4 linked regions of the Drosophila melanogaster genome follow. The protein of the gene in region 1 interacts with the protein of each later gene in a pairwise test. Each region holds a gene or a part of one and is shown on either strand. Other genes may lie near its edges.

Region 1 (9,616 bases):
GCAGGCCTCATCCAGGGCTATGAATTATCCCCTCTTGTTTACATTGAACTATTTTTGGGGGCTCTTTCCAAAAGTCAACGAGATGAGTCCAAGGTCTATGATTGTCTTGTACGAAGTGTTTATATGAATTTAGCTAGAGCTACTTCTAGAGATAGCCAGCTATCCTTATCCTTGTGGGTTTGTCATCAGGCATATCCCGATAGATTAAACCCCAAGGAGTGGGAGCTGTTTGTGAACAATTTCATGGGTAGTTCTGATGGCAGTATGGTGCTAAGTCAGCTTGGAAAACTGCCCGACTGCATGCCCAAGGAAGCGCAATTAAAGCTGGCTATGTTACTCCAATTGTTCCCAGATTTGCGAAGCAAGCTCCAGTTGGAGAAGGACTATATCTGGCGCGGATTCATTGAGGCTCAAGCGGATGATGTGCTACGTAAGTTGTAGAAATAATTTAGTTAATTTCATCTTATTCAGATTTATTTTCGAACTTACAGCTGCGTTGGGGTCCAGCTTCCAGCGTGTGCTTATTGCTCAGATTTTCCGACCCGACTTGATGCTTCACCAACTGCGAAAAGTGAGTAGCGATCTGCTGGGAATTTCCCCAGATGCCTCCACCCAACCTTCTGTGGAGCAGTTGCTGCAGCAGAGCAGCTGTGATCGCCCGATTTTGATGGTTAGTCATGCGGAAAATGATCCAACAACTGAATTGAGAAAGTGGGCCAATCAAAAGTATAGAGAAATGGCTATTGGAAAAGGTGTTGAGAAAAGAGTTCTCTCCGAAATGCGTCAGGCTGCCATAGATGGCCACTGGTTATGCGTTAAGAATGTCCATTTGGTGCCGGAATTTCTAACTCAAATGGAAAGGGAATTAAGTGAAATTCAAAAATCGAAAGACTTTCGATTGTGGCTATTGTGCGAATCAACCGAGGGATTTTCCGAAGCTGCCATTTATAAATGCCTTAAAGTACGTTATGAGCAGCCTAAGGGACTAAAGCAGATTGTGATGCGTTTGCTCCAGAACTTCGCTGCTGAACAGGATCAAAAGCTTAAAAACCAACCAAAGAGCCTCAAGATGAGACTGGTTTATTTTGTCCTAACAGCTGTGCTTCAACAAAGGCGACAGTTTATACCACAAGGTTGGTCAAAATACTATGAATTCGGTGAGGCAGATCTAAAAGCGGCTCTGGGTATCCTAAGAATGATGGATCAGCAACTTAATTCAGGAAAATGCGATTGGTTGCTGATGCAACGTCTCAGTGAAGCCCTCGCTTATGGCGGAAGAGTAAATAATCAGAGGGATCTGGAGATACTCACAACCTATCTGAACCAGTTTTGTTCAGCGGACGTCTTAAGCAATCGTTGGTCACCTCTTGGATTATCTCTATCCATACCAACTAGCGGTCAACTGCAGGACTACTACGCTGCATTGGAGAAACTTCCTGACACAGATGAGCCCAGTATGTATGGTTTGGCCAATCAGGCACAACAGCAACGCGAAATTGAACAGGCCAAAAGAGTGATAAAGGAACTCAGGGGATTGCATTACGGAAGAGGCTTGGCTAAGGATTCTGGAGGAGCAGGAGAGTCTAAGGGAAACGATCAGCTCACTGGTCGTCAGAAGCTGGAACAGCAAATTAAACCCCTACTGAATCTATGGAGAAAGTTGGCGGCTTCGTGTACCATAATCCAGACTATGAAGGAGGCAAAAACTGATGTGGGTGAATCTCCCTGGGCACTTTTTGTGCTGGCTGAACTGAAACTAGGGGCGGATCTCTACGGCATAGTTCACCAGACTTTGTCGCAGATGCATGCCTGGCTTAAGGAGTCGCAGGAGGTGGATGGCAGCACTCTGAGAACTCTGGCAGAACAGCAGGTAAGAAACTGGGGTACAGTAACGTAACTTGAAAATGCATAATAAACTGAAATTCATAGATTCCTGCCAGTTGGCTTAAACTATGGCCTGGACCTGGCAGCAACAGTGCCGTGGACTTTTTAAGAGCCCTAATCGTTCGAGCCCAGGCTGCCGAACTTCGATTCCGGGAGCAAATGCATCTGGATTTTGTAGAGGATATCAATTTCGTCCAGGTGTTTAACTGTGAGAACCTGTTGTCCTGTTTAAAGCTGCTGCAGTCTCGAAAACTGGCAGTTTCCACCGAACGCCTGGAGTTGCAAACTTGCGGCTCCTCAAACTTGGAAAGTGATTCTTCGGACATAATACTCAAGCTGGCGCCGCTAAAGGTGAGTAAGAATTAGTATCTTTAACCGATAATGTTTTGACATCAAGTTGTGAAATCAAATTCAGCAAGCCACTTACTCATGATTCAAGGGGTTATGTCTTCTATGTCTTCTTCTTTAGCGACTAAGAATATATTTCGAAGCCATAAAAGGAAATTTAACTAATCGCAGGATAATCAGCCAAGAAATTGCCATAACTATAATATTCGCGGTAGATGGCGCATTGGTTAAGTTGGGGATAACCATTAAATATCATAAGCCCTCGAGAAGCGTTACAGTAAATACAATAAACATTGAGAAATAATTTTGGGATACATTTTGCCAGGTTGCTATATCAGATACAATTGGATGCACACGTAGTAGTAGTAACAGTAACAATACTCTGTTACGGATTACCTGGATAGTAGATATGCATACATCCATAGTCCAAATTGATTCCCCCAATCCAAAATCCCAAAAGATACTTATTTATCTTTTGGGACGAAGACTGATGACATCTTCTCTCCCTCTTGCCCGTTTGCTTCTTGTCTTTGTTCCTCACCTTCCCCATTTTGGCCATAAAATGTGTCTCCATCGCCGTCTCCATTCTGGCCGTTTCCATAGCTTCCGTATCCGTAATCCTGCGCCTCCTGTTTTCGGTGCGCCGCCGCCGTTCAATGCATCGAAATTAAGCTTGAAATGTGCACTGGATGCCCGTTCTTTTCAGTTTTCTCACGCCGCTTTTTTTGTTTTCATTTGATTGACATTCCGGTACAAGAGGGGGAATTAGAGATGGCACCTTGTCCGATGCCTATCGATAAGCAGTTCTGAGCACAAACTTACATTTTACTTTCCCTTCTCGTTTGTATATCTACGTATTCGATGCCAATCGATAATCGGTTTGGAAGCTGACTATGGGGAGTGCATCCGCTATGCCCTGATGGGTGTACCTGCTAGAACTAACACTGTAAAAAAACAAATAACTATTTTTTTGTATATACATTTTAGGACTTGGAGAATAAACTTTGCAAATCATCTACCCGCTTTTCGCCTTTTTTTTTGTTTTTAGCAATTGTGAATATATGTAATGTGGAATATATCTAAGTATTTCATTAGTAACTAAACTTGGCACTATTCATTTTCCATTACAGATTGATGGCGCCCAGAGTGGAATGGGAAAATCGAACCCCTTCTACATCAAGTACAAAATAAAAGACGAAGTACAAAATGTCAGTCATACGACTACTAGTTCCTCAAAATACGGCAAAAATTCGCTATATTCCACGCAAAATGCTGAATCGAAGCCCAAACTCCCATTATATTCTCGGAGCAGTCGCGACAAATTGATTTGCCACCTAAATGTTGATATTGTGACCGGAACTGCGGAACAAATTCTCTTGGCCGGAACAGCGCTAATAGTCGAAGATTATTAAACACCACTCAATATTATTTTATACCAATATATTTCAAATATATATGTAGAGAAGCGAAGAATGTGTTGGACTGACACTTGAATAGCAATTCACCTTCGCAAATATTAAATAAAAACCAAACGAAACTCTTTTAACATTAGTTTCCTACCCTTGACACGCTGTCATTTGGGTCCCAACTAATTCTAAGTAAATATTTAAACAACTAACAATTAGGCAGCCAAAGGCAAACATAAAAATGGGCCATTAAACATTTAAGGCGAGGACTTAGACTCTGAAGAGCTAATTGATTTCCATATGTCTCAGTGTCTGTGTTTATTCGGGGATGCCCCTAAAAATTAATTTGCCACCGCCGAAGGGATTTTATTGCGTCCTGTGTCCCTCATAATCTGCTCATATTAAACTAATTGCCGTAAATTTCAACAACAAACTGCCATAAATGTCGGGCATACTTTTAGTTGCCAAGACATCCCCGACATCCCCCAGGCCCAAAACCATTTTACCGTCAAAAACTTGTCTTAACTTTAATTAAGTGGCATTATGTTCAATTAGGCAAAAGTTTCCAATATGCAAATTAACACAATTTGAGTGTAAAGTGCCTCCCGGTACCGAGAAGGGGGCGTGGCAGCCGGCTTCTGTGGCATATAAATTGCCCTCCGCACAAATCACAGTGCCTCGTATCGGTGGGCGTGGCAGTTTGTTAACACATTTTGCAAATTTAGCTATGCAGACTTCTCAGATTTTGTTGTACGCCTTTCCCAACTTGTTGTGCTGTCGGCTATTGAGAATAAATAATTTATTACGCTTCAAATGGAAATTTAGTTGCGGATTAAGGAATTAGGCAGCGCGATAAGGCTGAAAAGGTAATTGAGTAAGGATATAAAGTGAATGTGTATATCAAAAGATACATAAACTCCGCTCCGAACTTCAAATCCAATTAGCTACAAGGAAGAACAGTTTAAAGACCTCCTTCTTATGCATTTAGGCTACATAAAGATCAATTTCCAAAATATTCCCAAGCCGCAACCACATTAATGAGGCCCTTAAACTATTTCACCCGCCGCAATGCTGGATTACCAACTTAACCAAATAGTTCATCGCATTTAATGTTAAAAGCTTGTGGTTTTGGTTGATTCCAATTCGCATTGAATAATCCCCACAAAGTTGCAGCTTAATTATGTGCCCGCCCCAAAATCCCCAAAAACTTGCATTGCCGATTAAATTTTGAATGTCTAATTTGCAGTTGATGGGCAGGCGAATCCGTACTTTACACTCAAATGCACAAATTGATATCCTCCTTTGGCTTCTTCAGTGTTTAGTGTTTGACAAATGTCGGGGCCAAGCGGCCACATCCTTGTAATCCTTGCCAGCCTACAAGCAACGGCGTCGCCATCTAATTGCAGCCGCCTTCAATGAGCTGGGATTAGAAATTAATTAAAGTATAAGGCTAATGTGACATCTGCATGTGTTTGCCGCCCATTTCCTGGTACATACACACGAATATGTCCCCACATCTGCCATAAATGTAAGCCCACCAAATGTGATTAATCAGTTTGCACTCATGCCGCACTTTTGACTTTGCAGCTGGGCTTTGCCCTTTGTCAGTGAGTCTTCTTTGACTTTGGCTCCTCTTCCGGACCCGGGATGCCATTTAAATGGCAATTCCCCTTTACCATTCACTTGAATACCACTTACTCCATTTATTGGGTGCTCCTTTGAGGAGCTTACTTGATTTTATGACTATTTGGAAACAAAACTGGTCAATGAGACAGAAATGGAAATTATAAGAAGTAGTATGCTATTTTTGAATACATGTATTGATAAATCTGTTGGTTTTGGTACATTTTGCATGTGTCCAGATTTTATTTGGTTGTACCTCTTTCACAGATAAAATAAAGTCTAAGCTGTTTCTCTCACTTTTCTTTTAGTTTTTTAGTTTCGCAATATAAAGGCGTGCAAAAGTAATATTATTAAAATGTTATGTACACTTTGAAGTTTCAATGGAATTTGACAATAAAGTTTAGTGCTCTATGGCAAAGTTCCCCCCTTTTTTTATTTCAATAAGAAAAGCTTTAGCGTCTTCTGTCTTCCCTGCCTTTTGATACATTCACTCCTCTCTATTTGAGGGTAATCCCGATTTATCTCACCTTTGCTACAGGCCAGAGGAAAAACGAAAGATAGAGAATATTTCATGCATAATGCGGAGATAAAGGCGAGAGGGCAGCGGTGAAAGGATGTAGAGTCAACAAAATGCAGATAACGCGATGGCAGCTGTGACTTTCCTTCGTTTTTAAACAGGCTTCGCTGTCAGCGGCGGCATTTCCGGTTCCGTTTTGCCGCTCGCTGACTAGCGCCACCTGGCGGACGCTGCTGTCGCTCTCTCTTTTTGCACATTTTGAACGTGATAGAAATTTTTTTTTTTTTCGTTTTTAGCATTGGGTTGGCAAATAAATAGCATTTTTGTTTCGGCAGCCGCATTTCATATTTGTATTCGGGCACTTGCACTTCTTTGCCGATTTTTTTTTGTCTTTTGCTTAACTATGGAGCCGTTTTTCTTGTTGCAGTAGCTGCTCTTACCATAGTTTTGTATTTATTTGCGTGTAAATTCAGTCACGTTCGCTGGAATAAAAAGGGTAAAACGCGGGTGAAACACGCTGCAATCAGCGTTTTATGCATTCCAGCCGGGGAGTTGGGAAGTCCTATTCAAAAGGCCGTTGCTTTTGGTCTCTTTATGCTCCCCTCCTCTTCCTCCTCCCTCTGCCGAACAAATGTGCATAATTTTAGTTAAATTTTTGGCATTTTATGCATGGAAACGTTTCTGGGTTAATTTACGTGGTGCATTCGATAATTGCGTCGCCCCGAACGAACCCCCTTAAATCCACGGTGGATGGCGCGAGCAGAATGTGACAAATAAAATTGAATTAAGAGCTAAATGAAATGGAATTTATGTCCCACGTGTGCTGGAACTCGGTGTCACCGTAGTCCAGGCAACAGGTGCACCGCCTTTCATGGGTGTTGGAGTTCCAAAAAATAAAGCTCAATAAACTAGGACATGCGGAGCTGCCAATGACAGTCAAAATTTAATTGAATTAATTAATTAATTGATTTAACGTTTCGGAAATCCGAAATTAATCTAAAAATACCGGAATAAATTACGCAATCATTAAGTTTGCAGAATTATTGCTTGCGCAGAACAATCGTGTTATATTAGGATTTACATATATATATATATATATACATATAAAGTTTAATATGTTAAACCTCATTTTACACTTTTAACCAAACTATAATTTTTTGCTGCCCCTGAGGTCAAATTCTAATTAGTTTTCCAATTGATCAAGCTGCATTGAGTAGCCCCAAACCTTCAGAGTTAAAACAAAACTACATGAATCGAGAACGAATTTAATGGAATGAAACTTTTATGACTGCCACCCTCACTGCGTATGAATGTCAGAACAATTAGGCAACAGTTATCTGTCCATTACACCAAGAAACTCTCCGGATAGATAGGACTCCATCCCCTTGCTGGTACCCCTTCCGCATGTCGTCATAAATTTTGCGGCCCCAGGCATTAAACAAACTAGCACAAAACTCATTTGGTAAACAGGCAGGATATGCAGGATGTGCGCAATGGGTGTTTGTGTGTGTGGAGTATCTGTGAGCGGGATTAGGCGAGTGTGCGTGCACTTTCAACACACTTCAAGTGTTGCAGTTGTGAATCTTGAAAGTTTTCGGCCCGGTTTGTCCAAAAACTTTTCGTTACCGCTGCCTGCTGGTCATGTTGCCATGGATTTTGCTGGGAATTTGCAGCTACTTTTTTTCAAGGGACTTTGCATACAGGGAGGTCCTTAGCCTTGGCAGCGACTTTGGGCCGCAAAGTTATGGTCGGAACACATCAAAAGCCACGTTGCCCCCAGGTTTTGCATGCTGCTTTGCCCCTTTTTGCTGTCCTGCTAAGAACAAAGTGTTCCGGGAAAGGCTGCGAAAACTGTGAAATCTGCGAAAATGTGTTAATTAACCGACTGCGAGCGTGTGCTTTGTTTTGGGAAAATTAACACTTGTATGCGCCAAACGCAAGACATCTAATTAGCCTGCTCATGATTAAGTGTGAATCTAATGATATCAATGGCCCAGAGGGCTTATTTCGATGCGAAATTTGATATTTACTAAGGGAGTTTTAAACAACTAAAGATAATCAATATTAATGTGGGTGGGAATCTTACTTCCTTAACTTTTAGACTGCCGGTAGGTGGAGCTAGAGTGCACTCTCGAAAAAGATGGCTTTGCTGCTTTCATTTCACCATGTTCTTGAGGGATGTTCCAGTACAGGGTATCAATAAAGTACAGGGTATCAATAGTGCGTATTATGTAAATGTATAAACGTGTAAACGTTAACATTAAATTAAAAGGACTATTTTAGAAAAATGATTTAATTTTTATTAAAACAGCACTGCACTATAGGTTGAATGGTACCTTTTTGTGGACAAAATTATTAACTGAATTTTCCCATGCGGAAAGAAAAACATTTAAAGTTGTTTAAACAATGCGTTTTATTCGATATGTATACTGACTAAAAGCCACTCATATATACTCCACAAAGACAGTTTCAGCGCATCGTAAATTGAGAACCGCATTTGATAGTTCATTAATCCAAATTGTGAACTCTCCACAATTAATGATGTTTGCTTTGGGATCCGTTGGTCCCCTTCATATGGCTTCCATATCCCACATTCCACCTATTTGATTTCATTTGTTATCATCATCAAGTCGAGCTCAGTGGGGATGTGTGGGTTTTGGTCTCAATTTGCGTCTGCTTCTGATTTCTTGTTTGGCTAATTTATGCGCTTCGCTGGATAATAAATTTTATATTTACGTTAAACACAAACAAAAACGAACTGAAAGTCACATCAGGCTAACCATATGTTGTCTCCCATTCTCCAGGATTTTTCTGCACCCGACAATATGTCATTTGTTCCTAAACTCACCAGCGTCCTTCGCTCTTTGCCCACCTCCTGCTGTATAAATATATGGTATATAGCCCCTGCATTGTTGTTGTCTTGATTCCAAACCATTTGTTATCGAATTTGTTTGTGCTTATTTCGTATGCCAAACGGCACAAGAGTCCTGTTCTGATTCACAGGACTGGCAGGCTGGGGCTCTCCATGGGGCGACATGTGTCCTTGTGGGCTCTGCACGAGCTCCTCCATCACATCAGATCGAGTCGCATCGCATCGCATTGGCCAGATATATGCATGTTAATTTGCTGTGATCCAATAGGTTCCCATTGAGTTATGGAGACACTAGGTAAGGGAAATCCTCCTGGGATGACGATTCGTTTGCATTTGTTTTTGGTGCCCACTTAATGGTTGGATAAATGCAAACGAATTAACTTTAAATGGCTTGGAATTATCCAAACACATTTTAAGCTGGTAAAAAAGGAAAAACTGTGAATTATAAATTATAAATGAGCCAAGTTTAAAGCAAAAAAAAAGTTTATATATATACATATATATGTTAATCGATAGGCATTGTTTTGTATGTACCTTTTTTAAAATATTCTTTATCAAATCAACTGAACCTTATAATTACTGTTTAAAACAATACTTTTTGCCTGTTAACTTGTAAATATTCTTCTAAGCAAATTTTATTCTCAAAGTTTCATTTTACATTTCTCCGAAGCTGATAGCAAACTTCTCTGGGATTTCTTCATTACACAAATTAAGCAAACTTGTTCCGCACAACTTGAAAATTTCGAGACGAAATTCATTTACAAGTAACTTCAATTGATTTCTCTTGTCACATTTCCCATGAAAGCCTCTGCCATCCTGTCCTTCGGCACGAAATTATGTTTAACATGCTTTCAAAGGAAATTCTTATAAATGTTTATGCATTTCCGCTGCGCATCCACAAACTGCTTCGATATACCAGAAGCTTATTGAAAACTTTTACAAACTGTTGCCCGATTCCTCAGGGGC
Region 2 (9,256 bases), on another chromosome or scaffold:
TGCTGCTAATTAAATGACGAATTTCCCTCGCTGGCCGTTCTGGCCTCGAAATGCATTCGTCATTAGGCGAGCAGACCCGAGAATTGCTCCTAGGGAGCGTAGCTAATTGATTTTCAGTCGCCAGTTGCTCGGCCAGCGGGAGGGAGGAGGCAGGAGATCCTGGCCCGAATATGCGACCAGGTAGTGAAGGTAAGGTAATCAGCTCGAGCACATCGCAGGTTTTTTCCACCGCCTCCTCCCGCTGACTCTTCCTCGTCTACTGGCCATTGTTCTGGCAAGAGTCAAATTCTGAGAAACCAAACACACAGTTTATCCGCAAAATAAAAAGTGATTCTGTCTCTCGCTTCGATGTATCTGTAGCTATATCCGTATCTGAGGCTGTTCGGTGTCTGTTTTTGTGAAAACCATTGAACCCGCAATAAAGTCATCAATCATTGACATTTGCCAGCGCTTTGGTTTTCAGAATTTTGTGTTTTGAAAAATTATTGAATTGGCGCCGAGCAAGCAAAAAATGCATTGAGAAGTGGGCAGTGCAAATTATTTTGAAGTTCTATAATCATCTGGGTTTTGGTCCTGAAAACAACATTGATTCCTACAGATCCGATTAGACAATCTGACTAACGTGTAACTACTTCTCGTATAACTTTCTACGTGTGGAATGAACTATCATTCCCACCTCAGTTACCCCAAAGCTTTCTAAAAGTGTAAATAATTGCATAATTCACTTCATCATTCAGAGCTGAACAAGTCCATAAAAGACTCATTAAAAAAACACTTGCACTCAATTAAATGGAGCCGAGTTGGGGCCGAAAGGGGCATCCTGGCAAAAGGGGGAGCTAATCAAACAAGGGTCGCAGCTGCCAGGACAATGTTAAATGCTAAACTTTGCCCCGCAGCATAATTGCACAACAACAAGGCGCCTGGGGAAGCGGAAAGTGAGAGGTTGCACTTGAAAAGCGAGGAATAGCGGGGAAAACCAGAGGTGGTGGGCTTTGGGTGGTGGGAGGTTGAAGGGGGCAGCTGGGAGCTGGTTCGCAGCAGCTTAATGAGCTTGGAAGGAGCGGATGGGGCGCTACGAATAAAATCTAACCACAAAGTTGTTGAATGCTCTTGTGGCAGTCGGATCCTGTGGCCGTTGTAGGTGTTAATGAATAAAGTTGTTTGTGGTCCGCCGGGCGGAGCGGAGCGGAATGTAGTGGAGTGGAGTGGAGAGGAAAGAATCGTGTAAAAGATGGCTATGTGTGTGCAAACCGCACAGCGTGATAAACGCCATCTATCCAGACACACAGACTCTCGGGCCGGTCAACAGAGCCCCAAACAACAAAAAACAACGGCCACAGAGCAGACAAACCTTGATTGTTTGCCGGGTTTTTTGTGCCGAGTTTAAGGGGCGGAGTCTGGTGCTGGGGGGGGGGGGGGAATACAGGATGGACAGGATGGACAGGAGGCTAGCCAAAATTTCAGACGGTGACGGGGACAAGTGCAAAAGTTAACACAACGCAGTGACCGGACGGAACGGTGGGAAAGAAACAAAAAGAGACATATGCATGTGGTGGTTTGTGTGAGTTTGGGATCTATATTCTGAAAGGACTCTTCCCACTATTACTCATATATCAGTTGAATCGAATTTGTTTTAGATCATCGTAACTATTGGTAAATCGAAGCAATGCAATCTTTGTTTTAAATAATAGAGATATATGTAAGAAAGTAAACATAATTATTAAGCCGAGAGAAACACACAATTTATGAGGCAATAGCGAAAAACTGGATTTGACTGAGAGTTATTTCACAACTATAATCTCCTACTCTCGTTCCACACTCGAATCTTAAAGTCAACTCCTGCCGCGGTGTACTGACCCCTTCGATCAGTTCGAGCTGCTACAGTGGCACCATTTGGGCAGATCTATATCGGCTGGATCCATAAACACGTACTTGACTGCCCTGCTCCGTTTTACTCACCCACTTATCAAACTCGGACCCCTCACCCGTCCCATCGGCGAGGAGTGGAAGCCAGGTCGTAAATAACCTTTGCATAATCTAAATCAAAAGCTTAATGTAGCATGGCGAGTAACCCAAACAGAACAGCACAGAAACAATCGCAGCGCAAATAAAATAAAGCTAGAGGAGTGGAATGCGAATGTGCGAATGCGTCCAGTAATCCGGCGAGTGTTACCCCAATTTCGGTTTCGATGGCTTTTTTGAGAGGGCCAGCACGGAGTGCCTCGGAAGCATTTCCGAGCCATTTCAAACGGAAGTTTTGACACGTGTCAACACAGTGTGTTCGAGTGTGTTTATTTGCCCTGGGTCGGCGGTGTCAATGCAATAAAAACAAACACCAGTGCCAAGGGACATTTAGCCGAGCCAGCGATGCTGATTGAATTTTTGATTTATGCGGTGTGGAGGATGCTACTTCAAGTGCCCGAGTCGTATGGAAAGGTTAAAGGCCCCGATCCCAGCCAGATACCAGACCGATCCCAGCTCGATCCCGATCCGTAATGAAGTTGTGCGCCGGCCACTTGAAAGCTAATCAATATGTTGGCTATCTCCGACAATGTGTAGCCAGGTCAACCAATCATAGGCACACACAAATCAGTCAGAGGTCCTAAAATGCACTTTTCTGCTGCATCACGGCGGAGAAAAGAAATATGAAATTAGTCAAAAATATCATCATACAGCAACCAACTCATTATAATGCCACATGATTGTTCCAAAATCGAACACAATATGGCGGCGTCTCGAAATCAAATCGAAACATTTTAATTACCTTTCGATGAGTGTGCAAAAGAAAATACTGTTGTCCGAACAGATTTACAGAAATAGCTTTTTTGTGTGGCTAATTCTGTGATTTATGAATTTCTTTGTGAGTTTATAATCGCGGTAACTACAAGATGAAGCTATAATGAAGCCCGACGTCTTATTTTAATTCAATTTGGAATCATGAGGCCAAATTACAAAATAATAGAAATAAAGAGGCAACAACAAATGCCAAAAGCCAACATTAAAACAACAAAATATAAGCATGCTGGATATTGCGGAATATTGCTGGCCATATTTTCATTCTTCTCCTCCAATTTCCAAGTTAATTACGCCAAGGCTGAGGTCAATCAAGGATAATCCAGGACCAAGCGATATTTGCTGGAAAGTTTATTAACCTGATTGGCGCTCTTTTCACCAATTATGCGAAACTTTGTTTTGTGTTTTCGCATTTCATGTTTGCTTTCCCAACTTCCACTTGTTAATTGATTTTAATGGCTGTGTTTCGCCGCTTCTAATGAGCCCTACATGCTCAGCCATAAATTTCAATGGAACAAGTTCAACAGCCACTGGAATCAAAGTCATTAATTTGCGTTAAGCTCCGTTTCTGGCTTTATAGTTCGACTTCTCATAGATCACGACTATACCGCATAAATTGTATTTTAAAGCCTCCAACTATGGCTATGTTTTTTCAAAAGTGTTCAGGCTATGAGCTGCAAAGCGATTTTAATTTATTTTTGAAAGACAATTGAAAGAGAAATGCTTGAAATGGGCATGATTAATGATGGATTTAAGAAAAATTAATTATATTGAGAATTTGCATAGAGCGGTTGGCTATCAAAGTAATAGTAAGCCATTATTATTAAATAATACAAAATCTGAAGCCGACAACAAGGCTTAAAGTATAAAAAACAAAGGAGTAGCTAAACTAAATTTTTCAGTTCCTTTACAAATTTGACCAAGTTTCCAAACGTAGTTAAATACATGCCAGTCAAAATCCAAAGTCAAGAGAAGTCGCAGGCTTAGGGAAATACTAAGACCAAAAGTCGAAGTCAACCTAAAGCCGTAGAGTAATCCTAGCCGTAAGGACAACATCTTTGCGGGATTTTCTGGGCGCGGAAGAGCTTTGGGCGCAGGTTTTACAGGTGTCATAAAAGATGACCCGCCCGGCCAGTGGCGGGTTAAGCCAGGTAGTGGGCGTTGCAACGACTTTTGCCGTCGGTAACACGCTCACATCGACAACGTCCGGGATTTGCCCAGGCGGGCAAGGGTTATGCCCACGCAAGGTGAATTCTAAGAGATTGCAGACCTAGCATGTGCTATTCTAAATATAAGCGGTTAAAATCTGCATAAGGCTTCGACTTTCTATTAGTATTAAGATCTTTATAAAACAGGAATAATTACACACAGAATTTGACTGCCAAACCAAAACTAAATAAAAGTATTTTCTTAGTTTAATGAATGGTTTAATATGGTTTAAATATAAAGCGGAATGCACCGCCACACTTACCTGTATGCGTCCGCTTGTGGATCTTGAGGTTCTCGCTCCGGGCGAAGACCTTGCCGCAACCCGGGTGCGGGCAGGCGAAAGGTTTCTCGCCGGTGTGGACGCGGATGTGGTTGACCAGCTTGTACTTGGCCTTGAAAGGGCGTCCGTTGCGAGAGCAGCCCACCCAGAAGCAGGCGTGGGTGGTGCACTCGGGTCCGCCCACGTGCTCCACGGTCAGGTGGGTGACGATCTCGTGCATCGAGTGGAATACCTTGTTGCAGGTCTTCCTGCCGCCCGGGGGCACCAGGCCCGGCTGGTCGGGGTCTATCCAGAGGCACTGCATCTCCTGCTTAACGCTGGAGGCGGACGAGGCCGGCTGATGGCGCATGTAGCGCAGGAAGGCCCCTGCTCCGGCCGGGTGCATCGCGGACATGGCGTGGTGGGACGGGTGGTGCACGACCGGGTGGTGCACTGCCGCCGTCGGGAAGTTGCCGTGGTGGTTGTACGGGTGGCCGGCGGCGTAGGCATCCGCCATGCCCATTCGCATCTGATGGTGGTGATGGTGGCTGTGGAAGGGGTGTTGTCCGAACCCGGAGCCCAGCTCCGCGGCCTGAGCGGGAAAGCCGGAGAAGAGCATGGAATCCGCTGCGGCGGAGGCCTGTCCGGCGGATCCTGCCACACCGTACTCGGCCTCCCTCCTGCCCAGCAAAAAGTCCCGGGAGGCATAGCTGTTAAAGTGCCCATATCCGGAGTTCTGATAGGCTGCAGCAGTGGCCGCCGCGGATTCCTGATCCTGTTGCTGTTGCTGCTGCTGTTGTTGCTGTTGTTGCTGCTGCTGTTGGGTCATCTCCAGTTGCTGCTGCTGTTGCTGCTGCGCGTTGCTGTTACTGGCGGTGGTGTTGGGCGACATTCGCAGCCCGTAGCTGGCCAGGTGGTGCTGAGCCGGCTCAATGAAGGCGTTCATCATCATGGTTACAGTGTTATTGCTCGCTTATATGTTTTTAAAATTAATTCAGAAAGAACTGAACTACAAGTTTTCGATTCGCACTTTGCTAGGCCAATGAGCCCATCACGCACTGAGGTCACCTCACTTAGCTGTATATACTGTGCGCTTATTTCGCTCTTAGATATTTCGCATGCGACTTGATACTTATTTACGTAATGCACTCGCGCGCGATGCGTTTCTGGGGCGTTCGAATCGCAGCAAGACTTGACGCTAACCGAATGCCAAGACTTGACGTTTCAAGATGCGCAGCAGGACTGAAATGCTCCTGAAATTCTAACTCGCTGCTGTGTTGCCTCGTGAAAATATCTGCCGACGATCGCATGCGTGCGAATGGGATCGACCTATGCACGACGTAAAATGAATAGAGGGTAACGAAAGCGCGAGTGCGAGCAGGCCAGGCGTATGACCTGCCTGTGGTGAGTTGCGCTTGCCATGGTGTATTCGGCACAAGCCACCACTCTGTCGGATAGGCCTGAGCCATGGGTGCGAGTGCGACAACTCTAAGAAAATGGCCGCCTCCTCGCATGCTCCAGAGTCGGACAGAAGAGCACAGAGGCTGCGCACTCAGTCCAATTGGAACCCACCCGACCATAGCGCCCTCTCGCTCGGCAAACTGGTTTCGCGAAAATTAACACCCACTGCGGTTGGCCATTGGGTGGTGGGCCGACAGCGTGCGGCGTGCGCCTGTGCAGGGGGCCCAAATGCTGATTGGACCGACGGGCAGCCAATTGAAAGCTCGCGGGGATGCATTTTCCAGCCCGCTCCTCATTGTCACGGCGGACGAATAGCCCGCCACTTCGGGTAGCCCAGCTGTCAGCTTATCAAATTAGTTGTTTATTTTATTGATTTTAATGATATTAAGCACATTCCGTGCTCGGACATCGGAGATTTCCAGCCGTTTTGTTTAGGTTGCGCCATAAAGACGTACGAGATTTCATTAGCGCCAAACGCTCTGTTTTTCATTTGCTAATTTATGGAATTTTCAATAAGCAGTAGTCGAATCAATACATAATCTTGTATCAATCGACTTGATTGGATTCTGCTGAGTGTTAAGTGCCCCGGCAAAGTGGCTTTTGGGGCAGACTGTGAAGTGATACTTCGCCTGCATAGGGCAAAAATGTATAAATTTATTTTCATACAAAACATTTGCTTTGTGATAATATGGTATAACACTATGCTGTATGTATATAGTCAGACGCTCTTCTCAAAATATATGATTTTTTCTATTTACAATCCAAAAACTGAGCGATGCAAAAGGAAGGTCGTTAACATCAAAATTGTCTTCGTTTAGTATTCGTGTTTTGAACTAGTCCTCATCTGTAGATAATTTAAGGTTGATATGTAATTGCTGGCAGAGTATTAAAAATTGCTTAAGCTTTTAAAACGATAATAATTAAAATCAAATTGAATTTGGATATATATTGAGTAATCAAATTTTTATTCAAAAACAGTATTTTCTAATCAAATATATTGCCCTGAATTTATCGTTTGAGAAAACAATATTTCCTGGTAAAGTTTAAATGAGAATGAGAGCAAGAAAAGACCATGTGATTCCATGCTAATTACCTTGATTTCCGCAATGAATTAATTGGGGCAAATTGTGACATAAAGCGTCACCGCCAAGCGGTTCGGCTATTAAATTGTCAAAACAACTCAGCGGCAATCAGCAATCAGCGGACGGCAATCGACAGTCCATAGTCGTCCGAATGTCATACCGACCCCAATGCCATTTTGGGAGACGGGCAAGACCATAAAGCAGCGGAAAGTGCACCGAGCTGGCAGGCACCCAGTCCCGCAGAGCTCCAGCGACAAGTGTCACTCGAAATGAAGCCATTGCTCCATATCGATGATGGAGGATGAGGACGAAGCCGCCGGGTTGGAGCAGATGATGGGCTGCAAACGGAGCAGTCGGCTGAAGTGGATTTCTAGCGCACTGCCATAGAACTACTCCCATAAATAATGCCGTACGAGCCACTTGAAAATGGAAGCGCAAAATGCAATAAACTCTTAATAACAAAAAAGGAGCGGGGGAAACAATCTCAGGCGCTAGCAAACAAGAAATTATAAATTTAAAATGCCCAGATAAACAAAATGCAAGTTGGCCCAGCAGGTTGCAGCTTCTGTTGTTGTCTGTGATTCAAGAGGTCCATTTTGGACTAGACCGAATATCCACTTTCCAATGCAGAAAACGAATTTAACGACCCAGTCAATCATTCCAAGTTCAATAGAAGCTCTGAAGATCCAAGTAACATCAAAAATCTTGTAGCTTTTGCGATTTTTTAATTATCTTCCTCCATCATAGCCAACCATATGTTTTATAGTCGAGTTCTTTTAAGCCCTGATTATTTGCAATCCGTCGTGTTAGTAGACGTATTCATATTTTGGTGTCGATTTCACCCCTAAAAGCAGCGGACTGAACCCTCAGCTGTGCTTAATCAGTTTGGCCACAACCAAGTGGGCAACCAACCGGTGGGCGTCGGGGACAACCTGGGGACATGGCCGCGTGGCATGGGCACGGACTCATCAGAGTCAGAGCCGAAATCAAAATAAAACCGTAACCTGGCGTGGACGCCTTTGGCACATGCCGCGATCACAGCGGTGAGCACTGTACTGGTCTTTTGCCAGGGGTTCGCATGAGACCCGGGATTCCAGAGCCGAGACTCAAGATTCCAGTTCCAGTGCGGGATGGAGAGTTCCGTGCCGAGCCCACAGAGTGAATGGCCATGGTGCGAAAAGGCAGGGAGGGGTGTCAACGGAGTGATGTGGGAGCGTGGGAGTTTCCTGTCCAACTGGTTTCCTCGCGATTTCCTTTCATTGCTTCTATGCCGATTAATGTGCTTCAACAAATGGAAGTAAAGATGGAAAATGTTCAGATAAATATTTAAGCGAGCACATGAATTGTTTGGTACTGTATGAAGTATATACTCTTGTTAATTGCGTAGAAAATAAATCTAGCACTCTTTTGTGCAATGAAAGCATAAAGACGTTGCCACAAAGTTCAATAGTAAATTGCAAGAAATGCCTGTTACCATTACACACCACAATAATATCAAATTGAAAGAGTACGCCATTGAATGCGAGGTTAATATTTGGAAAGAGTTTCCAAAACTATGAACGATCTACATGGGCCTCCTTTTCATTTCAGCACGTGGTGAGCTCGCTCCACCCGAAACCTTAACCACCCACTTCCCGTTGCACAACCAATAAAGCAGACAGGTAAGAAGGCCCTGGCCAAATCCTAAAAGGCAATTCGCGAATCTCGAAAAAGGCGAGGACATCTGAATCAGAATGCTTAATCCCGGGGCGTGATAAACTGGCGATGCCTAGGAGGTAGTACAAGGATTAGGGAATCGAGACAGCTTAGGAAAGTCAATTTTTTTACGACCATGCCATGAAGACACCGGAACAAGGCAGCACATCTAGCCCACACATCGCTTCGAGATTCTCCAGATAGAGGGAAAATGAAAATCGTGGAAAATTATATGCCCATAAATATTTTGCCGGAGAGCGGACACGGCAATTTTGCTTCGGACGAATCATAAAAAAGTGCGTGACGAGAGAAGTGCTGACCGTAGGACACGGACTGACAAGGTCATGTCAACCATAAATATTTACATGCCATAAACACCAAGGTGAGGGCCGTCCTGGCAATCCTGGCCATACTGGCTCACATCCTTTTTCCGCAATGCGTTTTCCATTGAAGAGCAAAAAACAAAGGCGATCGGAAACCAGGAGACCTTGAACAAAATTTATGATCAGTTGCTGCTCGCAGTTTGCATTCGCAGGTAAGTCAAGTCAAGCAGTCAGTCAACTTTCCGGCCCGGAATCTGTGATTTACGAGCTGTTAGCCATCCCGGGATGGATTTTCATTTGAATTGTGACTGCTATTGTCCCTGTTTGTCCGAGGTTTTCTCGGCCATCGGCCACTTTTCGCCGGCATAAATTATGCCGTTGCCCGAGTCAAGTTGTTATGGTGGGCGTTGGTACTACACAAGCACCTCGTCCTA
Region 3 (5,628 bases), about 17 Mb from region 1:
TCTGTGTATGTATAAATCGATTCTAAGTAATAATTTGTTTAGGTTGTGTTATCATATGGGTGTTGTAGCTTAAAAGATCCTCCTCCTCCTCCAAAGCTCAGGCCTGTTGCCTAGCCTCGTTGGCCTCGTAGGCCTCCACCTCGGCGATGTTGGCCAGGTCGTACTCGATGACGCCCTTGCCCATGAACTCGGCGTACTTGGCTGACTCCGGCAGCGGATCAGCCGATCTCTTCGAGACTGTAATGGGTCGAGGAATGGGAATGGATCAGTAAGTTGCTGGCACCTGTAAGACATTGCTACTCACCGCCTGAGACGAACTTCTCCATCATGTAGACCTTCATATCGAAGCACTCGTTGGCAATCCGCTCCGAGATGAGCGAGACATCGGTGATGCGGGGCATGACCACACGCATCTGGCGCCGCACGCGCTCCGTATCTATGTTGTAGTAGCCAGTGCTCATCTTCTTTATGAGATCCACAAAGCTGGTCGGGGGCAGGGTCGTGTCCCGATCCAAGGGCATGATGAAGCACCGTCCGGTGGTAGTGTCGATAATGGCCGACTGGTTCTCCTTGAAGTCGTGCATGAAGCGACCACGACGTCCATCCTTGAAGTCGGGCACGTCCACGCGTGCGTAGCCCTCGTCATCGCTGTCACCGTCCAGTTCGATGTCCTCGCGGAAGTGGCTCTCGTCCAGCGATCCACTGTTGGGCATCGGTTGCGCGAGCTCGGGTAGCAAGGAGCGCCAGTTCAGGGCGAACGGTTCCACGGTGCGCGGATATACCCGCGCCATCTCCATCGAGTCCTCCGGATAGGGGATCTCGCACAGGGCGTGGTAGCGCATGCTGCTATGCGACGGAGCGTACACTCGGTACAGGGTCCATCCGCCCAGGACACCCAGGAGCATCACGACTACGGCGATCAGGAACAGCAGAAAGGATTTGATGCAATGGTGCTGCGGCCGGTTGAAGACCATGGATTCCGCGTCGGCTTCATTATCGCTGTAAGCAACCTTGGGCTGTGTGTGGAAAATGGGGGGTTTTAAAAATATGGGATACTCCTCTAAGTGTCACTTGCAATTTTGTAGGAACAACAAATTGCAATGGAAAAGTAGCAGTTTTATATACAATCTAAAGTTATCTAAAATGACCGACTTGTTATATCTGTTTCCTTATCACCCATTGTTCCAGTGGAAAGTCATAAAAACGACGATAAGTCGTAGAAAAATACAAATAGAAGGCAGTTGACTGTAATGTTGATAGTGGAAGTTCCACAAGTCGAAAGGTTTGAGCTTGCTGAATATTAATCACACATTTATATTTTCCGCCAGCTCAGCAAGATAATTTTTCACTGCAATGCCTTCTCTTGTTCTATAAACAATGCAATTGCATTGCTAAGTCAAAATTGTTTCGAAAGATACGTCGTTAGCGAGAGATTAGTCTAAGGAGGGGTCAGAAGAGATCCCCTTGCAAAAAATTAATCAATTGAAGGCATTTGCATGCACTAGAGTGGACCTTATTCGACTATGTAGTGCATAACTCATATGTAAATGTATGATTGTATATAAATCTCTGGAAAATTAGTGATATCTACACTAAATAAATAAACTGCAGATGGGCAAATATGCTGGGAGATGGGAGATGGGAGCTGGCAGCTGGGAATGATTGTGCTTATGACCAGCAAGCTGATAAGACACGACTTTCTCTGGATACCCGTGCACACGAATCGAGGTCAAAGTGCACAGTGTCAGCAGCTCACAAAGGGCTGCAACTGGCACCGTAAGTGGCTTTCCCCAGCCGTCAGGGCCAATCTCCACCAGCAACAGGAAAACCCTTCGCGCTGACCTCGGGGAGCGAGCGAGCGAGTCCTTGGCGCGGAAAGCCCAGGAAAGTGAATGGGCACACGTCACTTGGAGTGGAGCAGGGGTTGCATGCGGGCAGGGGGGTAAGGGGAAGCACGGGCCACAAGGACACCAAGGAGTGCGGAGCTTGGTCGGGGAAAAATCGATGGCGAGCTGCTGCTGCTGAGGCTGTAATTCGGAATGGATTCCGAATCGGAATCAGCACCAACCACCCACCCATCACGAGACTTGTGGCTCTCGGGCCGCAGGACGAAGGACACGGTGGCGGGCAGGGCGCGAGGGATGGACAAGGACATAGCACGATTGCGCAAAAATAAGGACACATCCCGCAGATGCGATGCCAAGCAAAACTCACTGCGATTAGGGAGCCATGGTGCATGAGCGCCTCGTCGTTGAGGTTCATGGGCAGGGGCACCTTCTCCTGGTCCGTGGGCTGTCCCCGCAGTTTTCCCAGAATTGTCATGGCTGCTCGTATGCTGTGTTCTTGATGCCTCCGCACGACCAACTTGTTTGTTTTTACTGAAAATTTAGTGCGCAATTGTTGACGAGCTGAAATCTCGATCCAGACAAGCCAGTGTGACCAGTTCTAATTCGCCTTTCAAAAGATGTGGACAAAAGTGAGGCAACTCTAGAGTGGTTGCAAACTTGGAAAAGACGATTCGCCGCCCAAAAATTCGAAACTTGAATCCGAAAAAAAATTGTGAGGCACAAATTGTTATCTTACAAACGAAAAAACATGATACATTTATATTTTTGGAGAAAACCCAAAACATACAACTAAACTCCCTTCCAAAACGAATTGCTTACTTGTATCTTATGGAAGTTTATTTCGCTGATAACACAATACGTTCTACTGGCAGTTCTAGGGACTTTTTTCAAAAATGCAAATGAGTTTCTTAACATACACTTTAAACACAGAATGATTGAAACGTTCGCCTGCGGAAGTTGGGAACCTACGACCTCTGGACTACACAGCGGACTATGCAGACCGCTTTCGACCTTTATTTCTGCACTCTTACAGTCTAATCATACAGAGCAGAGCGTCCTACTTATGACTATGTTGGTTAGAGAGGAAGGCGAGGTGACCCTTGGGACACTTGTTCGCGTAGTGGCCCTTGTTCCCGCACTTGTAGCAGGTGATCTCCTCCAGGGGCGTGGGCACCTTGACGAAGCCGGGACCATGCGGCTGACTGTGGTGATTGGATTGCATGTCATCGGCACCCTCGATGTGGCCGGAGTGTCCAGAGTAGCCGCCCGAGTGTCCGCCGGAGTGATCCATTGCGTTGATATTGTTGCGATGCTCCAGGCTGCCCACATACTGCTTGCACGAGTTGGCCTTGTGGCCCAGCTCGCCGCAATAGTGGCACGTGGGCAGTTTCTTGTGCAGCTGATCCTTACCCAGTTCCGCCAGCGGGGGCAGCTCGAAGTGCGGATGCATGTGCTTGCAGGACGGGCCCTCGGGGCAGAAGCCGGCTAGGTAGTCCATGCACAGGACACGGCGCAGATGCTGGTGCCGGCAGTGGGGACCGTGGCGGCAGAAGCCTCTCTTGTACCACGGACAATCCTTCACCTTGCTCTGCGGGTCGATGTGCAAAAAGGGACACTCTTTGTTGTGGCAGGCGTTGAACCTCGAGTAGAAGTAGCACTCGGGCATCTTGGTCATGTCGTACTCGTGCAGGAACTCGCACTGGTCGCCCTTCTTGCACAGTCCTCTCAGCCAGTGCTTGCACACGATCGTCCGGTCCCCGCGAATGTGTCGGAAGGGACAGGCGCTCCCTTTGTCGCACTCCTGTCCGTTCCTGGTGATGAAGTTGCAGACCGCCGCAATGGACTTGTCCATGCCGTAGAACGGCAGCGGGATGGCACCCACCTGCTCGATGAGGTCCCGCTCCGCCTTGAACTGCAGCCCACTTACGTTGGCCAAAAGGATGTCCATCTCTGACGGATTCGCGGATGCTCGGATAGATGAGGAAAAACTCCGAAATCTGGTAAACAATGCAGTTTCCTTCTTCTTTTTTTGCGCGTGTTTGTTGTTTCAGTGCGAATAGTGCTGACACGCAACCGGCGTTATCGATATCGATAGTTCGCAAGGCAAGACAGTCATGGCCGTCTAGCTGTTTATTAGCCAAATCTGTCCACTTCAGGGAATAGATATTTGTATATAAATATTTTTAGTCTCCAAATGTTTTTAATTTATAAGATTAGTCATAGTAAGAAAATACTTGTTTTTATGACCTTATTTAACTAAACCGCCATTAATAACATTTTAGCTATTTAGCTACAAAAGTAAGTTGATATTGGTCAGCACTGTTGGCGACTAAAGTATTACATAGAAATTAAGTATCCGCCCCGTTAGTGTTGCTGATAAAAGGGCTTATCTACAATGAACGAGCCAGTTTCAAAAATTTCACTTACACAAGAGCAACACTTGAATTGCTTCGAAATTTAAACATTAAACACTGAGTAAATTCGATAATGAACCACCCCCGCCGCCAGAGGCCGATAGTCAGCTGGTATCGATCACTTGTTTACAACTTTTCGCAATGTTTATAACGTAAGCAATCTGCGTGAAAAGCCATTAGTTAATTTGGGAGCGAGGAACTGAAAAATGAGGAGCGAGCGCCGCTGAAGAACCCAACCCGACCAACACCCCACGTAGTCCACCCACTCCAAAGGTCAAATGCTGCCTACTTACGAGCGCTTCAGTGATCCCAAAAGCGTCCTCTTCCGGCTTCCCTTTGCGCGACTGGCACTGGTGGCTCTTAGTTTGCCCCTGGGAGGCTTCTTCTTCTGCGTGATTTGGTCTCTGACCTTTGACTTCGTTAGGAGCACCTACACCCACTGCGATGTGACCAACTATCTGCCCTCCGTCTCGGCGGCCATTGGGAACTATGAGCCCCAAAAAACCGTCTGGAGACTGGCCATATTTCTGCATTTACCACTCCGTTTGGCAGTTGCCAAAATCTACTTGGAGCACTATCGGGAACACATCCGCCGGAGCAGAAGATTGCTGGGCATCCTGGCCTGCTTCTTGAACGTCGTGGAGGATCTGGCCCTCTTCTGCTTGTCGTTTTGGACCTCTGCGGATCATTACGAGACCCACAGAAACGCATTTGTGGTGTTCATTGCGTGTTCCGAGTGCTATATGCTGGTTTCCTACCTGCTGAACAGGAATATACAGAAGACCGTGCTCTTGCCGCACGAGGAGAAGTCGCTGAGGTACAAGAGAAATCTGTTCTTGGTGAATGTGATCGCCTTTGGCTTGGCAGGATACTGCTTCGTGAGGCACAACTCGCATTGCGAGGCGGGAGGTGAGTGGGAATCGGTTGTGAGTCCACTATTGTCTTATAATGAATCTTTTCTATCCACAGTCTATACTTTCTTCGCGTTGTTCGAGTACATCGTGGTGCTGACCAACATGGGGTTCCACATGACCTCCTACTGGGACTTCTACGCCCTGAATGTGGTGTGTGATGCCAAGCACGGTCTCTACCTATCACAATCGTAGACCAATGAACTAGATCAAACCCAGCCTGCGCCGCCATTTCAGCCAGCCAGTCGTCCTCGAGTATTGTGTACATACGCGGTATTAGCTTAAGCTCAATGTTTACTTAATTTTACCAAAAGGAAATTGCTTACGAGGGATTCCGAGAGGAGACGATTCAGTATGACAGGATCTGATGCATACACACGCTTTTAGCTTTAGGCTCTAACACGATTTTACACCTAAAGGATCTAGTTAAATTCGAACCGAGTTCCATCATTATGT
Region 4 (7,289 bases), on another chromosome or scaffold:
GAACTCCCAGATCGATGATAAGTTCGAACCGAGCAACTGCCGCCTGGCCATTGCCGAAATAGTGCTCACCTTCTCTATGGAACTGGGCGATCCCCAGGATCCTCGGGATATAGAAAGTGAAGATCAGGACAGTGGCTGGCTGGTGGACTCCTACAAGGTGCAGCGCTTCAAGCTGATCAGCTTCAGTCCGAAAACACTGAACCTTCGCGTTATTGACTTTCTGAAACCGGTTCGACAGAAGTAGCCCACAAATTCTCCGTTCCGAAGGTGTTGTCATTGGGGCACTCGAGTAATTTCAGTCACGTGCCGTTCTCCGGTTCATCGATCCCTCGCATTGGCATTACGTTAAACCCACTTTGTCAGCGATCTCTATCCACCGATCGTGGCGCGACTCCGCTTCGATGTGAACTGATCCGCTGGGAGGGTTACCTGGTATATTTATGGCTTGGACAGGTGTGTCGAGAGGCTTACCAACACTGTGATTTTCAAATTGCTGTGAGTTTTTCAATAAATGTTTGTCAGTTTGTCTTACCGTAAATGGAAGATACAAGGAGGTCTTCAATTAGTAGCTAAGGAGTAAAGGTCTTACATCTTACTGAACATAAATATATACTATTTAAATTATTCGGTAATTAAAACTGCAAGAGCACGCTGCCTTTTAGTTAAAGCCGCGAAGTAAGTGTAATTTGTCAGGCTGCGGGCTTTTAGACCCTGTACGCGCATTTACACTCCAGATGGGGTAAGAGTTAACTATTAACTACTCGCAGCCAGAGTCCAAGGATGCCCCAGCTCCACCAACCTCTTCCGCAGGGGTGGCGAGTGGGGCTGGGAAATCACGGCGTGTCGCTTTCGAATGGAACATAAAAAATTGAGGGCTTAATTAAAAAGCAAAAATGTGCTGCGATTTTCCGCTTTTTTAACGCCAACAGCAGCAACTTCGGCCCGTATTTATATCCGTACCCCAACCCGTGGCCCAAAAAAAAAAAACCCAGGGAAAATGCGAATGCGAATGGGAAAAACAACACATTTTCCAGGGCCAGAGAGCGAAGGGAAGGGAGGAGTAAAAACTACTTGCCGACGACTTTTTATGTGGCCCATGTTCCTTGGAGGCGAAGGAAGCACTGCCAGCAGTTCCATTTGAAATTTTCCGGGCCTCATGTGTCTTTTTATTTCGCCTTCCCCCCCCCCCCTGGGCTCCTACAAATTAAGCTTTCCCTCGCTTTGTTGCCTCTTTTTTGGCCAGACCAGGCCAAGACCATGACTTTTGTTGTTAATTAAAGTGACGGCTAAAAACATGAAACTCTCAAGTGCTCATTAAAATTGAAATGCGACTGCAGGAACAAACCAAATGTGTGCCAAATAATGACGTTTGGCTCTTAATGCCACTCCATGTTCTCTTCGCAAACAGGATAGTTGCGTTCCCTCTGCTGAATGCAGGAATATTAAAGGGCTCAAATGGAAATTTAATAGGTAATCGTATGGTGTGGGTTTTGAGCTCTTTAAATTAGGTAATCTTGATTAATAACACCACGAGTATATACTAACCTATATAGTAGTACAAGTGGCATTCATATCCAGCTCTTCGGGTGCTGCAAATTCCGCCGCACTCCTTCACAAATCATTTGTTTGGCCAAGTCCAGTTCCAGGAGACCAGGAGTCCACATAAACCAGCGGCAATCCCCTCCCGAAATCAGGGCGATTGCAGAGCTTTAAAGTGCTCCTTGGCAGGCCACATAAATAAATGTTTGCACATTTACTTTGCCGGGCTGCCCTCCTCCTGAGTCCTTCTGCTCCTGCAGGATTGCGGGTGTTGTGTTCGCTCGCTTCGTTGCTCCCAGCACGTTCATAACTCAACTCCTGCTCCTGCTCCTGCTCCTGCACCAGCTCCAGCCACTGCTCCCTCGCCAAGGATGCGATTGTGCGAGGATGTGCCGGAGGTGTTGCTTTCCAGACGCTTTATTTACTTGCAATTCGATGCTGGCAATCTCGATAGTTTCAATCCGAGGCTACGCCCCGCATTGTTTTCCGGCGCTCCGCTAGCGATGATTCTCCGGAGAGAGATTGCCATAACTTTGTATAGTGTAATGGCAATGCAATTGGATGAATTTGGCAGCAGGACGAACTGCACCCATCACGGGCATCGAGGCCAGTTAGTGGGAGCTCAAATTGCAAGACAAAGCAGCGAGCCCAAGTCAATTTGGCCAAGTCTCACAGGCGGTCAAGGTGGCGCAGTGATGCAGTGATGCAGTGGGCCCACTGAATCCAATGCAATCGCTGCAATCACGTACCCAATGGGCATATTACTAGCTGACTGCGATGTGAATGGATTAGGTTGACCTGGCCGTGGCAGTGTTCACTAACTGCAATCTAATTCTGATCTGGGGGTGTCACATTTATCGGCATGCTTTTCTAAAAGGGTATCCATCGCACGGAGGGGTAACAAGCTTTTCTCAAACACTTGAACATCCTCAAATGTAATTTTCTCGTTTATTAAATAATATTAATACATATAGATCTTTTGCCGCTTTGACATACTAGGTAACTAGAAGTGGGAAACAATGAATTTCATTTGCAGCTCCTTCAACATTGTCCTCCAAACTCCTCTGCTTACTTACTTATTTCGAGTGAATCTCAGGGTGCTTGGAGCGTTGATCTGGCTATAGGGTCGTAAGCTGGGCCGACAATGGCCGGTGCGAGATGAGGTCGGGCTCCATTTTCAGGGCAGTTAGCACAATGTCACGTAGCAAATGCGACAGCGTGGTCAACATAATGAACGGGGCGGCCACCCGCTCCTCCTGACCCCGGCCACGCCCCCCGCCCATCTGCTCCTTTGGGATAAAGAGTGCAGCATGTTGCAGGTTGCAGACGGCGAGTACTTCGCGCAGAACCAGTGCTGTCCGGTTGACTATTTTTCTTGGGCTTTGCCATTCCGGAATTACAAAAAAAAGAATATTTTCTTAAAAGTACAGAGTTTTGTCTTCTAAGAGGTGAGAAATACATCATATTTTTTTTAGCCTACATGAGTCACCACCACTTTTTACCTGAGAGCGCCTCTGGCCAGGACTTTGGTGGCTTCCAATCGTGTCTGGTGTCCACTGATTGCTCTGGCGGCGATTGCAATAACCTTTGCCCATGTCGACCATGTCACGACAACTCCGCTCGGTTTTCGGGCCAAAGGAACCCTCAGACAGTTGGCTCCGAAAAATGTGTCGATGCACGTGACATTCGGATGCAATTTGCAATTTGATTTTGTTCCCTGGAGAGGCAGTAGACGGGCGGAGGAGGTGCCCATCGCCAGCAGGTCGCAAGTTGCAGGTTGCAGATTCAGATTCGGCTTGTTGCCTAAGTTCAAGGATCAAATTGATTCCCCTTTCGGCAGCAGCAGGTGTGAGATGCGAGATGTGAGATGTGAGCTGCGTCTTTGCATTGTTACACTTGACCAATTCGGATTGCAATTACACACCTGACTGTTTACCGCCCCGCCACCACCATCACCACCACCAGTATCGCCCCAATTTTGAACCTGACTTTATGTCTGGTGAGGAAGAAGGCGCTGCTGGACTGTAGTTATTCTTGGGGGCCAGCTGTGGGGCTGGCTAAAATGGCCGAGCAACGATTTGTGTGGGTTTTGGCTTGTTTTGCAATCCGCTTTCTTTGTTGGCGCCATCATCCCCACCACACCACTACTTAGTCTATAGTTTACGCGCTCCACAATTTGGGGGAATTGTTTGTGGGACAAGTGGGGGGGGGGGGGAGTCCGTCGAGTAGGTGAAAGACAGGCAATAAGAAGACAGCCGAATGGACACTGGCTTAATTGAAGTCCTCTTTATGACAGTGGCTTTGTATCAGTACTATTCAATTCCTCTATTGCAATCTATCGATTTGAAGACACTTCCAAAGTGTTTTTTAAAGTATGCAACCACTTGTGTTCAGATAGCCTCCAGCATACTTTCAGGCAGCGGAACATTCAGGGGAGGCTGTATTAAGTTAAAGGGCCAGCATCAATTAATGCCCACTTAAGCCCAAAGCACCTAGTCAGCAATCCAGACTGCAAGTTTACTTACATTTGCACTCAGGTCCGGGTGTTAATGGCGCCCTTGTTATCGGATGTGGATATTCCGTTCGCCCCGGATGCACAACATCTCCTCCCGCGTTCGCCCTCTCCAGGTCGCCTGATTGACCTTCTATGAGTGGCAAATGGTGTTGGGTGTCAGTCAGGCGAAGCACTCCGCCCAATTTCCACCTCCGTCCGGCCAATCCGTGCGCTTCGACTAGGTGGCAAACTAATTGGGGAATCGAACCTGGCCCGGAGAAGACTGTCGGCCGGGTTACATTAGTGTTTCAATCACCTCACATTAGACACGCTGCTTTGTCTACTACCAAGTCGAGCGCAAGATGAAGAAGTCCGGGGACTTGTGAGCCCAAGCCAGTAGGATTAGCACTTCGATCGCCTAACACCCTTTTCCTTTCGCCCTAGTCTCTCCCTGCTCAACAATCGCGACCTGCTGAAGACTCCGTCCGGCAACTCCATTGTGAACTTCCTGGTGAAACCGATGAGCGTGGAAATGAACACGGCGGACAATCTGATCACGGGTGCCAGGCGCCAGCGAATGATGGAGCTCTTCCAGGAGGACCGCGCCTGGGAGGCCGCCGAGTTGTCCCGCTTCGGACTGAGCTGCATCAAGGCCCCGGACTGCTATCCCTGCTGCACTCCTTTCGAGTGCTCCAAGGCCAAGTTCTAGGACTAATTGATACGTCTTTTATTGTATGTGTGTGAGAATCAAATCCATACGTAAATCAACCTTTAAATTTCATCCTCACAATAGAGGATTCGCATAGAAAGCTGGCCATACATATTTGATAGCCAACATTTTCCCGATTCTCTAGAAGATTAGAAAACAGACCGTAATTTCGTTTAAATTTATTTATTTTATTTGTCGTAGGGAGCACCTTTCGCCTGCTCCTGCGGTCAACTGTCGGCCGCGTAATAAATTGATTCGGTGGCCATTAATCTATTTTCCGGAGCGGGCGGAGGGCCACGCCCCCAGCTTGATGCGCTACTCATTGTTTAGAGAATGGCAGGCAAATTTCGGCGCCTTTGTTCCCAGATAAAACCCTTTTGGGCGGATCGTGTTTTTTCGGGGGCCATGCCCGCTTTTTTTTGTCCTGCGGCGAACAAAACACAACTGATTATGGCGGCAGGACACTTGGCCGGATTAATTGAAAGCCGAGAGGCGAAATCCGAAAGCCTAAAGGCCGGCTTTTTTTGCCCACTTCAGTTGGGCTTCATTTTGCGCTGGGGGATTGGGTGTTGAGAATTGAGAATCCTCCATCATCATTTGTCATTGTCAGCTAACGGAGTGTGATGGCCGCCCCATTTGGCCATAGATGAGATAAGAGGCTGTGCTCGGGCTCAGCCCGGTTTCGCTCAGTGCACTCGGCTGCACTTCCCGCCTGACTTTTGAGCGTTTGAGCGTGATTTTCTTTTCCGTGTGCACTCAGCGATGCGCTAATCAAATTATAAATCGTGCCCATTGGAAAGTCGTTCGATGGCATCGGTGGCCCCCAGGAGGCGACATTGTCACCATCAGCCCGGGCAATCATAACTCGCACAAAGGGAAGGCCATCCTGTATTTTTCTACGCCTTCCCCACCATTTCCACTTTTCCCACTGCATCTGCGACACTTTTTCAGCGCCCATTAGAGCTGCTGTGGCGCCACCATAATGGATGCCGGAGCAAGTGCAGCCGGGTCGGTCCGTTTGCACTCCTTGGACCTTTTTGTGTTTGAGCTCTCCACCCGCTGGGAATAATGAAAATGTCTGCGATTGGTCGGGCAGGCGGCTAAATAATAGAATCGATTAGGTCTTTGAAACTGGGGAACCGTACATCACTTTTAACTTTCAAACACTTCTTAAAGTAATAGATACTTACATTACTGCTACTCTAGATTCTCATACTGAGATAATACACAAAGTATAGGGTATCCCTAGTGCCAGACAGATAAAAAGGGCGCAGGAACATGCATATTTATGTACATCCATATATGTATGTACATACATATGTACGTATGTTTTTTAATTCATGTACAATGTTTTTCCACGGGTAATCGTGAAGGGCGGCCAGGTGGGGTGCATTGCACATGGATCGCATCAAACAATGCCCATTTCTTTAATTAACAATTTGCATTTGCCGTGTTTCCAACAATTTTTTGCCGACCCCCCTTCCGTCCTGTTTTAATTGGTGTTTACTTTGGGCGGCTCTTGTGCCACGCCCACTTGCAATAATACCGCTGGATGCAATGGTATGGTATGGTAATCACCACCTGGGCTGAGCTACCACATTGCTGCATTCCTGCATTCCGGCATCCCGCATTCCGGCTGCCTTTGAGCGGCATCTTTTTACTAATGACTCGAAATCCCATCCAATCATGCAAACTGCTTGGGACTTTGTTTGCGGATTCACCCCTCCGGTCGGAGATAGTAATTTATTTCTTAAAAAGTGAAATCCATTAACACAAATTCCTTGGCCCACTATCTTTGTACCCCCTCCCCCAACCAAACAGCCAACCATCCTCCCTCTCCCACCTGCTTCAAACCATATCTTTATGTCTTGGTCAGACCATTCACGTGGCTCTTATGTTCCGGTTTTCCAGCTTTTCCGCTGCTGCCTGGCCAGAGGAAAATTGCAATCACCTTTGTGATTGTGTTCTGCTTTTCAGCTCCATCGCTCGGCATTCAACAGTTTTCGCTTTGTGCACTAAAAGTATTAAATTTCTTCAAATATTCTCGGTACACGTGTTTGTATGTACATACATACATGTATGTATGTACGTACATATGTACATAAGTACCTACATATCTACATACCGAGCAAAAGTCACTTTTGAAACGTATGTATGTGTATGTATGTATGTTTTCTGTGCGTTTGTTGTTTAGATGGTCAAAGATTTGGTTAGAAAGACACATTTTCATGGCATTCGGTTAGTGGTATTACTTATTTAATTATTTACGAAAATCGTTCATAAAATCAATTCAAATGGCAGATAATACCAGATTTCCCAAAAGAAGCTTATTAATACTGAGTGCAGGATTTTCTGTCAGGGTTTTGCACATCAAATAACACAACTGTACATAGCTTCTATCGAACTTGTCAGGTTGAGGAATTTTTTTGATGTGACATAGGCGACAAATCCAAAGTTTATTCAAAAGGCAGTAATTATAAGCATTTGCAGCTGGCGAGGCATTTTGTCGGGTAAGGCGATCCTCCTTAAGAAGTGCTGATTCAGTCA

What was found.
Region 2: the proteins of CG5674 (region 1) and opa interact in a two-hybrid assay, tested with the Drosophila melanogaster proteins (one large-scale study listed by BioGRID).
Region 3: the proteins of CG5674 (region 1) and Clp interact in a two-hybrid assay, tested with the Drosophila melanogaster proteins (one large-scale study listed by BioGRID).
Region 4: the proteins of CG5674 (region 1) and CG34210 interact in a two-hybrid assay, tested with the Drosophila melanogaster proteins (one large-scale study listed by BioGRID).

What each region holds. Positions count from the first base shown.
Region 1 is NT_033779.5:17,956,763-17,966,378, reverse strand, and holds the start of CG5674 (uncharacterized protein), read right to left. Parts: upstream 3,001-9,616; 5' UTR 2,834-3,000; coding exon 2,774-2,833; intron 2,236-2,773; coding exon of another isoform or gene 1,930-2,235; intron 1,871-1,929; coding exon of another isoform or gene 492-1,870; intron 431-491; coding exon of another isoform or gene 1-430. Other genes in the region: btv (beethoven), read left to right, coding at 1-430, 492-1,870, 1,930-2,235, 3,363-3,644.
Region 2 is NT_033777.3:4,849,063-4,858,318, reverse strand, and holds the start of opa (odd paired), read right to left. Parts: upstream 5,507-9,256; 5' UTR 5,214-5,506; coding exon 4,265-5,213; intron 1-4,264. UniProt on the Drosophila melanogaster protein: Transcription factor essential for parasegmental subdivision of the embryo. It is involved in the activation of wingless (wg) in odd parasegments.
Region 3 is NT_033779.5:818,246-823,873, reverse strand, and holds Clp (clipper), read right to left. Parts: upstream 3,911-5,628; 5' UTR 3,796-3,910; coding exon 2,905-3,795; 3' UTR 2,665-2,904; downstream 1-2,664. Other genes in the region: CG3662 (uncharacterized protein), read right to left, coding at 98-237, 305-1,016, 2,215-2,322; PGAP2 (Post-GPI attachment to proteins 2), read left to right, coding at 4,540-5,170, 5,231-5,367. UniProt on the Drosophila melanogaster protein: Component of the cleavage and polyadenylation specificity factor (CPSF) complex that plays a key role in pre-mRNA 3'-end formation, recognizing the AAUAAA signal sequence and interacting with poly(A) polymerase and other factors to bring about cleavage and poly(A) addition.
Region 4 is NT_033778.4:23,347,228-23,354,516, forward strand, and holds CG34210 (uncharacterized protein), read left to right. Parts: upstream 1-4,290; 5' UTR 4,291-4,395; coding exon 4,396-4,415; intron 4,416-4,477; coding exon 4,478-4,742; 3' UTR 4,743-4,917; downstream 4,918-7,289. Other genes in the region: CG9863 (uncharacterized protein), read left to right, coding at 1-244.